Arabidopsis thaliana: one gene and its partners. The protein of the gene in region 1 interacts with the protein of each later gene in a pairwise test. Each region holds a gene or a part of one and is shown in the gene's direction. Other genes may lie near its edges. The genes, in order: CAMBP25, WRKY33 and WRKY51.

Region 1 (3,760 bases):
GAAATAATGGATTGTTAACAGACATCATGTGGGGATAAATTTACAAGACTATTGTGGAAAGTTTGAAGTAATGGATTGTTAACAAACGTCAAGTTGTGATCTTTACTTAATTATATGTAAACTAAATGATAAAACAATGTATTTTTACTTTTCGGATTAAGAGATCAAATGAAGAAGCTATAGAGCCGAAGCAAGGCAGTAGGAAGAAACATGGGAGACAAGAGAGGAGTGTCAGAGTCAGTAATGTATTGGAAATAAAGTAATGAGAGAAAAGCTTTCGGTGAAAAGAAGAAAGAAGAAGACACACACACACGACCGCTTCTTCCTTCATCACATGCTTCCGTTCGGTCTCGTCATCATACCATCATCATTACATCGTATAAAAATGCTCACGTCACCGTTGGCGGCTTTTGACTTTGTTCTTCTTCTATAAGAATAAAGACATTTTCTTTATTTATTTTTTCTGACTAATCTGAGTCTTTAAGACCACAAATTATAGAAATTTCCAACAAATTCTTATATACGTACCAGATATGTCTTTTTAAAGAATGAACAAGTGAAGCTCATGAGAGTCGTCTCGTCAATGTATAATGTTAATGTGCTAAAGTTGATATCACGAAAATACTAAAATGCAAAAGAAACGTCGCGGAAACCAATCTGATTAATTATTTCACCTGTCTTTTATATTTTTGAATCTTTTATATATATATAAGAATTGGTATTGTTTTTTTGCATTTTGTAAACGACGACGACTCGTACAAATCAGTAATCGTAATAAACGGTGTGACCGTGTGAGTCAACAGTTGACATCTTAGATCTTGTGTGCTGAGTGCGAGTGGTACATGTATGCGTTGTGAACTTTTTAAAATGTTATATGACAGGTGAAATTCAAGAATCATTTTTTTGGTATGCTGGTACATTTATTCAGTTGGATGTTTTGCAACTTGAAGAAAGTATATATGGGCTTGTAAAAACTATGTTTTTGATGTGCTACTTAAGCGTCGTTCGACCATAGCAGACTTATTTTGCTATTATCGTGGCATTATAAAGACGTAAACTGTTAAAATATCATCTTCATAAGAAAAATAATTAAATCATTGTAATATATAGAAAACTATTGTGTGCACTACATTTATCTAGTTTTACTTGTCGATTAAACTAGAAATCCATTTTATTGAAAACATTTTTCTTGTATGCAGTTGAGAGTGGTGAAACAACTTGTAAAAAAAACTATTTCAACAGTCTTTATGATTACTTTGAATGGCGTTCATCTTCACTCTATAACTGTATAATCATATTAACGCGTTGAAAAAAACTCATTTAACACAGTTAGTTCTTTTGGGCTTACCTGGAATTTTGAATATATATATATATATTCGTGTTATTTAAACAAGCAAACAAAAATAAACAATATTCAAAATTTTCTTTTACTTTTCTCCATAAAAAGGATGAAAATATCATTGTCATAAAAGGATAAAATATACATATAAACGCATTTTTGTTGTCTTTAAAATAAAGTTATAATCAATTTTGACATTTGTTTTGTTTGACCCTTCACATAAGCCAATTCATTGCATATAATTTGAAGTTTTGAACTCCTAAACATAGTTATTAATTTTGGTTTGTATTAAAAATTATAGCTCAAACTTGTACTTACTTAACACCATGTAAAACTTAGAGTAAGCGTCTTATCTAAATGAAAAAAAAAATAGAATACGCAAATCACCTTCATATATTGTTTAAAATATTTGTTAAAGCCACTATGAGTATGATATACAGAAAGATATAGGAGGGTACAAAAGAAAGACCGAAGCTGAAAACGACCGATTCTATTTCTCTAACTCTTTTGGTCCCACTGAGAGCAACAAGCGTTTAAGTAAGTAAACATCAGCCGTTGGATATTGACCTTCCTCATTTTTCTTTTTCTTTTTGGGGCTAATTTGCATGTCTCACCGCGTAGAAAGGATGTATCTAAAAGTTGAAGATATTCTTATTGGATCAATCAATATTGCAAAGGAGATTGTCTGAATATTGGATATACGCAATAAAAAAAAATTTCTTTCGCTTGTTACAGAGTACATACATACTATCCACATGTTATCCATTCGATTTTGTATAAGTCTGACATAATTCATCTTTAACAAAAAAAAAAAAAATCTGTGACATAATTCAATAATCTAATTTGTTTTATGATAATCTCTCACTCGTTAGCTGAATAAAAGTTCCGTACGAGTAAGCTGTGACACGTGTCCCTTTCAATCTCCGCTCAACGCGGTTTCCATCGCTTCTCGCCGTCCTTATATAAACTTCCTCGGCCCCATTTTTCATTTCTCACCTCTCTCTTTCTTTCTCTAACTTCTTCTTCTTCTCCTTTCAGAAACCCAGCGACCATCTTCTTCACCGGTTATGGTGACTTCGGAGGGATTAGCAAGCGTTGATTCTTGGTTATATCGCCAAGGTTTCAACGTTGATTCATGGTTGCTTTCTGATACCTTCTCTCACGACAACGATTTGCTCGCAAGAGCTCTCCATACCACCGTCACAGCCCCTCATACTCTCACTCCTTCCTCTGCTTTCTTCGATTCCTCCGCTGTTTCTCACCCTTCTTCCACTAACACACTCTCCTCTACCGTCTCCGGTGCTTCTGATCCAGAAATCATCGGCGGAGGAGCTAAACGGAAACGTAACTGCCTTCTTACCGACGGTAAAGCCGCCAAGCGCCGCGCTCGTGCTTCCAAGAAATCTCAGACTACTTTCATAACGGCGGATCCGTCCAACTTTCGTCAGATGGTTCAGCAAGTGACTGGCGCCAAGTACATCGATGACTCTTCTTCCTTTGGTATTTTCGATCCGATTGTCAAGCCGGAGCCGCTTAGGTTCGTTAACAAACTGCCTTGTGGTCCTTCGGATCGATCCACGGCGGTTCCAATGCTCGACACATCAGCATTTTTGTCTAATCATCACCAGGAGAATCTCGCAGTGGGAAATGCTTTCTCCGGTAACAGCAGCAGTGTAGGATTACCGTCGGGGAAGCCAAGTGCAACGGCCGACCCCGGTGGTTCTGCCGTGGAGTTTGATAATTACCCAACATTTCCAACGCTTGAATCGTGGAAGGTTATGTGATCTGTTTCTTTCAGTCTTAGACGTAATCTTTAACTTTTTAGGTTTGTTTTCTTTGCATCCCTTCATGAATAATCTTGTTCATAGTTTTTGTTTATCGATGTAATGGATCAAATCTGAGTTCTTTTGACTTTAAAACTATTTAGAGGATAAGTCACAAATCTATCTATTAAAAATATTCAGCTAATCGAATGAGATAATACAAAATTCTAAGTTGGGGTTAGTTGGTAAAGGAAACTGAAGCTAAAGTTGATAATGCGCATTAGCGTTGGAGTCTTCTCACCGTTGAAAATAGAGAAGAACTATATAATAATCATAATATATTTTTTAAGGGAGGAGGGTAAATATCATGTCAGCATCTTTTCTATTAAGACAATCAAATACGTTACGACCACTAATACAATAATGTCTCCATTACTGATACAAAGCCAAAATAAGTTTTTGTTTTATTACAACATCCCATCTCTGCTTGCCCATTATGCATTCAAATACAATTGCGTGTACTAGGACTTCTCTCATAATCGATTATTATCTGGAGAGATGAATATTTGTTACAAGAACATAAAAACCTATCTATTACACTTCATGATAAATTAGGGTTTTCAACTTCTCATGGTTCATTTTTGATAAATTTACTTAC
Region 2 (3,760 bases), 1.0 Mb from region 1:
ATAACAAAATGAAACTAATCAATAAGGAAATTAACGAGACACCAAATACGTCAAGTGATCATTGATTCAAGAAGACCCATGAGTCTCTGATCCGCTTGTTTCAGTGGCTCGAAACAAGACTCTTGTATACGCACCTGGCCAACAAAAAAGGCTTTGACATAGCTAAACCCTTCCTGGCATGTTACTGCCATGGATAAACAGTTAGTCTTCACTCGATCGGACAAAGACTTCGCCGGCTGTCGTGATGTCTCGGCGTCTTGCATCGCTGCTTTTTCGAGATAGATAGATTGCTTGAAACTTGAAAGCAAGACTAGGAAATATCTCACTTTCTTGTGCCAATGATGATTTTTTTTAACTATTAATGATTCTGGAAGCAACTCTTGCCACGTCTGTTTTACGTGTTAGCTGTAGAGATACCGACGTGTATTAAAGCAAGAGGCTATTTTACTTTGGGCCTTTTGGGCTTTTGGGCTGAAGAAAGAAACTGTCATCGGATCAACAAACACTGCATAGTTTGCAACTTGCACGGTAAAGCGACACAAAATCCATGACGTTTAATTTAGGTTCCACGTGAAGAACCATACCACATATCGTGCAATAAGAAACTGATCACTTTTATATACCTAAACGATTTACAATTTACACTACTATGCTTGACACGATATGTAATTTTTTTTTTTTTGCCAAAGGGTGTTGTTATTGATATTAAACATTGTACAATACAACGTACATAGACTGTTTATATAAAACAAGGACGTCTAGATAAAAAAAGCAAATAACAAATATTACAAGACTAGTTAAGGAAACAACAAACTGAGTAAGGTTTTATGTACAAAACAGAGACGACTACCAAAGAAGAGGGCCAGACGTGGTAGCAGTGATGGAAGACAAACATCCTGACATCTCAATAAGAACATTTATGGCTACTTCAAATACATATATACACAATATGTAATTCTCTTATTACATTTATGGCTACTTCAAATACATATATACAAAAAAAAAAGGCCTACCTTCGACAGAAGTTATACCAATTTATTGATCGGAAGCTACAAAATGTTATCTAGGGTCAATTTGTAGCCTATCTCTATATCAAAACCGATACGGATACAAAATAGTTTGATAATCATAGAATTTAACATTCTAATAAATATTTGTTTCTAGTATTCTTTAAATGAATAATCTTGTGTTCAATTAGTCTATTCATAGTAGAATTAAGTCTCCTAAAAAATAGATTGAAACCAAAAACAGCCGCACATGGATTTAATATCGACTTTAGTTAGGAGGTTTTGCTAAAAATAGTAAAATACTCACAAACTCACTTCTAAATACTAATCTTTTACACTCATGTCATGTGCTTTAAAGATATGAGAGAACCTTTCCTAGTACACCTACAGTCAAAATTTTCAAGATTCCGAAATTTTCTAGGTTTTTTGAGCAAGAGCCAAGAATCCCAAATGTTTGAATTTGTATTTTTGATCCAAAAATACTACAACATCGTATAAAGAATAAATCATACGTGTCAGAACGAGACATATGAAGATGATGAAAGCATTGAGCCGCCCCTCAAAAAATCCGTTCAACGTTTGAGAGTCAAGGCCACAAGGTCTGACCAATCTATCTCTTCTCCTTCTTCTTCTAATCATATTTTCAACGGTCAAACTTTTTATCACCTTCTCAGAAACTACTCTTCTTCATATGTGACCCTAAAAATAAAAACGAACAATTAAACAAAATTTTAAAATAATATAATATTCACCAATCAGACGTGCAATATGTTTTATATATTCAGACATAACCAACAAATATACAGAAACAAGAAGAAGAACAAGAACCATCACTTCTCTCATTTTCTTCTTCTCCAAGCCCCCCTCCTTTCTATATATATCTGAAATTGGTCTTTTATAAAACAAACTTCCATTTTTCGTATGGCTGCTTCTTTTCTTACAATGGACAATAGCAGAACCAGACAAAACATGAATGGTTCTGCTAATTGGTCACAACAATCCGGAAGAACATCTACTTCCTCTTTGGAAGATCTTGAGATACCAAAGTTCAGATCTTTTGCTCCTTCTTCAATCTCTATCTCTCCTTCTCTTGTCTCTCCTTCCACTTGTTTCAGTCCCTCTCTTTTTCTCGATTCCCCTGCTTTTGTCTCCTCCTCTGCTAACGTAAGCCTCTCTGTTTTTTTTCTCTGTTTCTTTTGAAATGAATCCAATTAGTGATGATAATCTGTGTTTGATGTATCATTGATTTAACATCTTGACAATGAATCGTGATCGGAAGTGATAAAGTTATGGGTCAACGGTTTCAAAGAGAGAGAAAGACTTTTAGAGTCAACTCTCGACTCTTTCTTAATTATGTTATTGCTATTTGTCTCTTTTCTTGAAGTCTGAACAATTCTTGGGATTGTTTTGCAGGTTCTAGCTTCTCCAACCACAGGAGCTTTAATCACAAACGTAACTAACCAGAAAGGTATAAATGAAGGAGACAAGAGCAACAACAACAACTTTAACTTATTCGATTTCTCATTCCACACACAATCATCAGGAGTTTCTGCTCCGACCACAACTACAACTACAACTACAACTACAACAACAACAAACAGTTCTATCTTTCAATCTCAGGTATGTACTTCATCAACAGCTCAAATCCTCTGTTTATGAGTTTTTCTATAACTTTGTTTTGAGTTTCAGGAACAACAGAAGAAGAACCAGTCAGAACAATGGAGCCAAACCGAGACTCGTCCAAACAATCAAGCTGTATCTTACAATGGAAGAGAGCAAAGGAAAGGAGAGGATGGTTACAATTGGAGAAAGTACGGACAAAAACAGGTGAAAGGAAGTGAGAATCCTCGGAGTTACTATAAGTGTACTTTCCCTAATTGTCCAACGAAGAAGAAAGTGGAGAGATCTTTGGAAGGTCAGATCACAGAGATTGTGTATAAAGGAAGCCACAACCATCCTAAACCTCAGTCTACTAGAAGATCTTCTTCGTCTTCTTCGACTTTTCATTCAGCTGTGTACAATGCCAGTTTGGATCATAATCGTCAAGCTTCTTCTGATCAGCCTAATTCCAATAATAGCTTTCATCAGTCTGATTCCTTTGGGATGCAACAAGAGGATAATACTACTTCTGATTCTGTTGGTGACGATGAGTTCGAACAAGGCTCATCGATTGTCAGCAGAGACGAAGAAGATTGTGGGAGTGAACCTGAAGCAAAGAGATGGTACAGATCATCATCACCCTCCAAATTTGCTACTCTTTGAACAATCTTGAATATGAAAGTTCTAAAATGTATGTTTTTTTGTGTTTTCAGGAAAGGGGACAATGAAACAAATGGTGGGAATGGTGGTGGAAGCAAGACAGTGAGAGAGCCGAGAATCGTAGTGCAGACAACGAGTGATATTGACATTCTTGACGACGGTTACAGATGGAGAAAATACGGCCAGAAAGTCGTTAAGGGAAACCCAAATCCAAGGTAATAACATAAACAATTGTGCATCTCAATAACTCAGAATTAAGGTTCTTGAGAATCTGACCTTTTGTTTTCTTTTCATTTGCTGAATCTTAACAGAAGCTACTACAAGTGCACAACCATCGGTTGTCCAGTGAGGAAACATGTGGAGAGAGCATCACACGACATGAGAGCAGTAATCACAACCTACGAAGGGAAACACAACCACGATGTTCCTGCAGCTCGTGGTAGCGGTTACGCCACAAACAGAGCACCACAGGATTCGTCTTCAGTCCCGATTAG
Region 3 (3,760 bases), on another chromosome or scaffold:
ACTACAGGAAGAAATCGTAATTTGAGCGTTGCTCGATCACTATACTACAAGAATCATCACAAGGTTGTGATCACGGAGATGTCAAATTTTAATAAAGTTAGACGAAGATCGTCTAGATTTCGGAGAAAGACGGACGGCGACGAGGAAGAAGAAGAGAAACGATCTATCCCCACAGGTCCAAATCCTTTGCACAACAAGTAGAGTACTGACTACTGAGAAAGATGCAACATACTTCGACTTCGTAAATTGTTCGTTTGGTGTATATATGTATCGTTATAAGTTAGTTTACTTTTCAAGATTAATAGTCTTTAATTAGGTTGGGTTGGAAACTCTAAAATAGTATGAGATAAATTTCAATTGTTTCTAGCATTTAAATTTTGTATGCTCAAAGTTGCTGGAACGATATGGCAAACAGAAATAATGGAATCGAAAAAATATCGTGATATGTTAGAATAAACTGAGTAAAAGTACGTTTTTGTGAATTTTCTTTTGTCATTGTAATTTGTTTTAACAAAATACAGTATTATTCTTTTTTACGTACTAATAAGGTATATTGTTGTATATATAAAGGTCAGTAACTTGTAACTCATCTTTTTTTTTTGTTTTTTTTTCTGTTTTAGCTGATAGGTGGTTGGTGTTCATTAATAAATGTCCATATATCACTTTCAAAGCAATTCACTAAAATATAGATATGTAATTATTTTTTATTTTTTCAGATTTTCCCCTTGAAAAAGGGGTTCTTTCAATTAGAACCCCACACTAACACACTCCTTCACTTTTGGCCAGCCGCCCTTCTTTTTCAGTCTTTCAGTTTATATTTTAGCCTCTTTTTTAAAAAATACTATATTTTATTGCTTTTTCTTCTTCTTAATTACTTTAGTTAATCATAGTTAAAACACATTTTTTTGTGCAAACGTTTAAGTTTTAACACTATCTGATTTTAAACTTTTAATCATTTGCATGTAAAATCACTCAAATAGGTAATATTTATATGATTCCAGTCATGTGTTTCTTAAAAACAGAGCCACACTACATGTTTCTGTGTTTATTCTCAGTTAATTAGTTTTTATGTTTGTTTTAACACAATACAGAGAGAATATTATTGTAGTTACAAAAACAATTAAGAGTGGCACCAAGAAATTTCGTCTTACCTTTTAAGACAAGATTAAAAGACCACTTTGAAATTTTGAATCGTTGACTTAAGAATAGACTTAGCAAAAAAACTTGGTCATACATATATGATATATGTGTGGGTCAACGATTCATATATGTATGATGATACATTGCAATGTGCCAAAACTTCTGGAAGAACAAAAAACGACTAATAAGAAAAAATAAAATATATAAAATGTTGCCAACATTAAAAAACGCATTTGCTGTTTCCCATCAATATTGGAGTATAGTTTATATAAGATTTTTAACAATATTATAAGCTAGTTAATTAATAGAGTTAATCTTTGGTAAAAAAACAGACGGAATTTTATAACTTTCGAAATCATATTGATCTGCATATATATATATATATATATATATATATATATATGTGGATTCACCAGACCAGATGAGATAACCATTTTGAAGGATTTGCTAAATAAAAGTTAGGCCAAAAAGAAATCAATAAAGTTTGTGACAATATCTTTAATAGTATAATTTACATTTACATAATTCAATAAGTCAAATCTTATTGTGTCTTGGTGTGCACTGTAAAGTAAAGTCCTGTCTGCTTCAAACGCAGCATAAGCAAACTTACAACTTAAATCCTCAGCCGTTGATCCAAAGACCAAAATCCAATTATCAACGTTACCTAATGTAGACGATAAAATCTCTTAAAATGGGCCCGTAAAGCCCAAGCAAAAAAACAATTACTTTAAGTGGAAGCTCACTTTTCGCCACCCTTATTAACGTCTGTCCATACGTCATAACAGATGACGTCATCATCATATTCCTTTTTTCACACGTGGCATTGAAGCACCTTCCTAGTATCTACCCTGAAATTGCTTGACATAAGTAGTAGTTGTTTAATAATCTTTATCTCTTAATTATCCTCTTTTCTTAACAAAAACTTGTTACAATAATTTTCATTTTTATATAAATAACTGACCATTATAACTCTTTCTCTTCTCTTCTTCACTTGCTCTAGTTCTTGGATGCTTTAAACCTCTCTCTCTCTCTCTCTCAATTATTTTTTTTTCTATTTCAAAAACAAAAAAAAATGAATATCTCTCAAAACCCTAGCCCTAATTTTACGTACTTCTCCGATGAAAACTTTATTAATCCGTTTATGGATAACAACGATTTCTCAAATTTGATGTTCTTTGACATAGATGAAGGAGGTAACAATGGATTAATCGAGGAAGAGATCTCATCTCCGACAAGCATCGTTTCGTCGGAGACATTTACCGGGGAAAGCGGCGGATCCGGCAGCGCAACAACGTTGAGTAAAAAGGAATCAACGTGAGTTCCTTTTTAATTATTATTGTTGGCAAGATTCTTAACCAAGCAATTAGTATTTCATTATATATAGTTTTATTCATTAATCTTTTTGATAATAAATATTGTAGTAATAGAGGAAGTAAAGAGAGTGATCAGACGAAGGAGACGGGTCATCGAGTTGCATTTAGAACGAGATCGAAGATTGATGTGATGGATGATGGTTTTAAATGGAGGAAGTATGGCAAGAAATCTGTCAAAAACAACATTAACAAGAGGTAACTTATTCATTTACAAATTACTCATTTGATCTAATTAATATGTTTTACTAGTACTTGTTTTTAACATAACATATGGTTGCTTGATAATTTTCTATAACCATCTTGTAATCCTGTTGTTATAGAATATATAGCCACTAGCTAGCTAGACCATATAGTGATTTGAATACTATTTAATGGACCCGTATTATCTACCAACCCACTTGGAATAAAATTTAGCTTCTATATACATCATGCATGTGTGTTTTGTTTATACAAATATATAAAAGGTTCCTATAGCAAAATTGATTGATTAGTGGTATATGGATCAATGAATCCATGGTTGATAATCAGTCATCGTATAGATTTATTTTGACTCATATATCATAAGAGAAACAAATATAATGAATTCATCATCTAAACATATCACTTTCATTCAAAGCATGGTTTGAAAGCAATTTACACACTCTGTAATTGGTTAATGATATTCTTATATATATACATACATATATATATATATATATATATATATATAACTTGGTGCGATATATTATAAAAGTGATTACAATTTAACATGTGGTGGATGAATTTATAATATAAAGGAATTACTACAAATGCTCAAGTGAAGGTTGCTCGGTGAAGAAGAGGGTAGAGAGAGATGGTGACGATGCAGCTTATGTAATTACAACATATGAAGGAGTCCATAACCATGAGAGTCTCTCTAATGTCTATTACAATGAAATGGTTTTATCTTATGATCATGATAACTGGAACCAACACTCTCTTCTTCGATCTTAATCCAAATCTCTCATCCTCGTTGAGATTGTAAGATACCAACAATATTAATATTATAATCTCAATGCTTTGTATAATTTGATAGGTGTATAATAAAGGAGTTACTTATTTCGTGGTTATAAATGTTTAATGTATGTATATTGCTATGAGTACATTTTGTAGGTCACTGACTCACTAGATATAAAATCTTAAGCGTATATTTATTTAAAAAGTAGTGTTGAATTTTTTTGGGTCACGGTTGTCCAAAATACTGCGATCTGAATCCAATCCTTATTTGA

The links.
Region 2: the proteins of CAMBP25 (region 1) and WRKY33 interact in a two-hybrid assay, tested with the Arabidopsis thaliana proteins (one study listed by BioGRID).
Region 3: the proteins of CAMBP25 (region 1) and WRKY51 interact in a two-hybrid assay, tested with the Arabidopsis thaliana proteins (one study listed by BioGRID).

What each region holds. Positions count from the first base shown.
Region 1 is NC_003071.7:17,113,378-17,117,137, reverse strand, and holds CAMBP25 (calmodulin (CAM)-binding protein of 25 kDa), read left to right. Parts: upstream 1-2,090; 5' UTR 2,091-2,406; coding exon 2,407-3,123; 3' UTR 3,124-3,340; downstream 3,341-3,760. UniProt on the Arabidopsis thaliana protein: Calmodulin-binding protein that functions as a negative regulator of osmotic stress tolerance.
Region 2 is NC_003071.7:16,106,548-16,110,307, forward strand, and holds the start of WRKY33 (WRKY DNA-binding protein 33), read left to right. Parts: upstream 1-1,687; 5' UTR 1,688-1,928; coding exon 1,929-2,171; exon of another isoform or gene 2,172-2,420; coding exon 2,421-2,627; intron 2,628-2,696; coding exon 2,697-3,229; intron 3,230-3,319; coding exon 3,320-3,481; intron 3,482-3,577; coding exon 3,578-3,760. Other genes in the region: AT2G38465 (uncharacterized protein), read right to left, coding at 135-263.
Region 3 is NC_003076.8:25,906,203-25,909,962, forward strand, and holds WRKY51 (WRKY DNA-binding protein 51), read left to right. Parts: upstream 1-2,044; 5' UTR 2,045-2,212; coding exon 2,213-2,454; intron 2,455-2,561; coding exon 2,562-2,708; intron 2,709-3,289; coding exon 3,290-3,485; 3' UTR 3,486-3,679; downstream 3,680-3,760. Other genes in the region: CLE21 (CLAVATA3/ESR-RELATED 21), read left to right, coding at 1-201. UniProt on the Arabidopsis thaliana protein: Transcription factor. Interacts specifically with the W box (5'-(T)TGAC[CT]-3'), a frequently occurring elicitor-responsive cis-acting element. Involved in defense responses.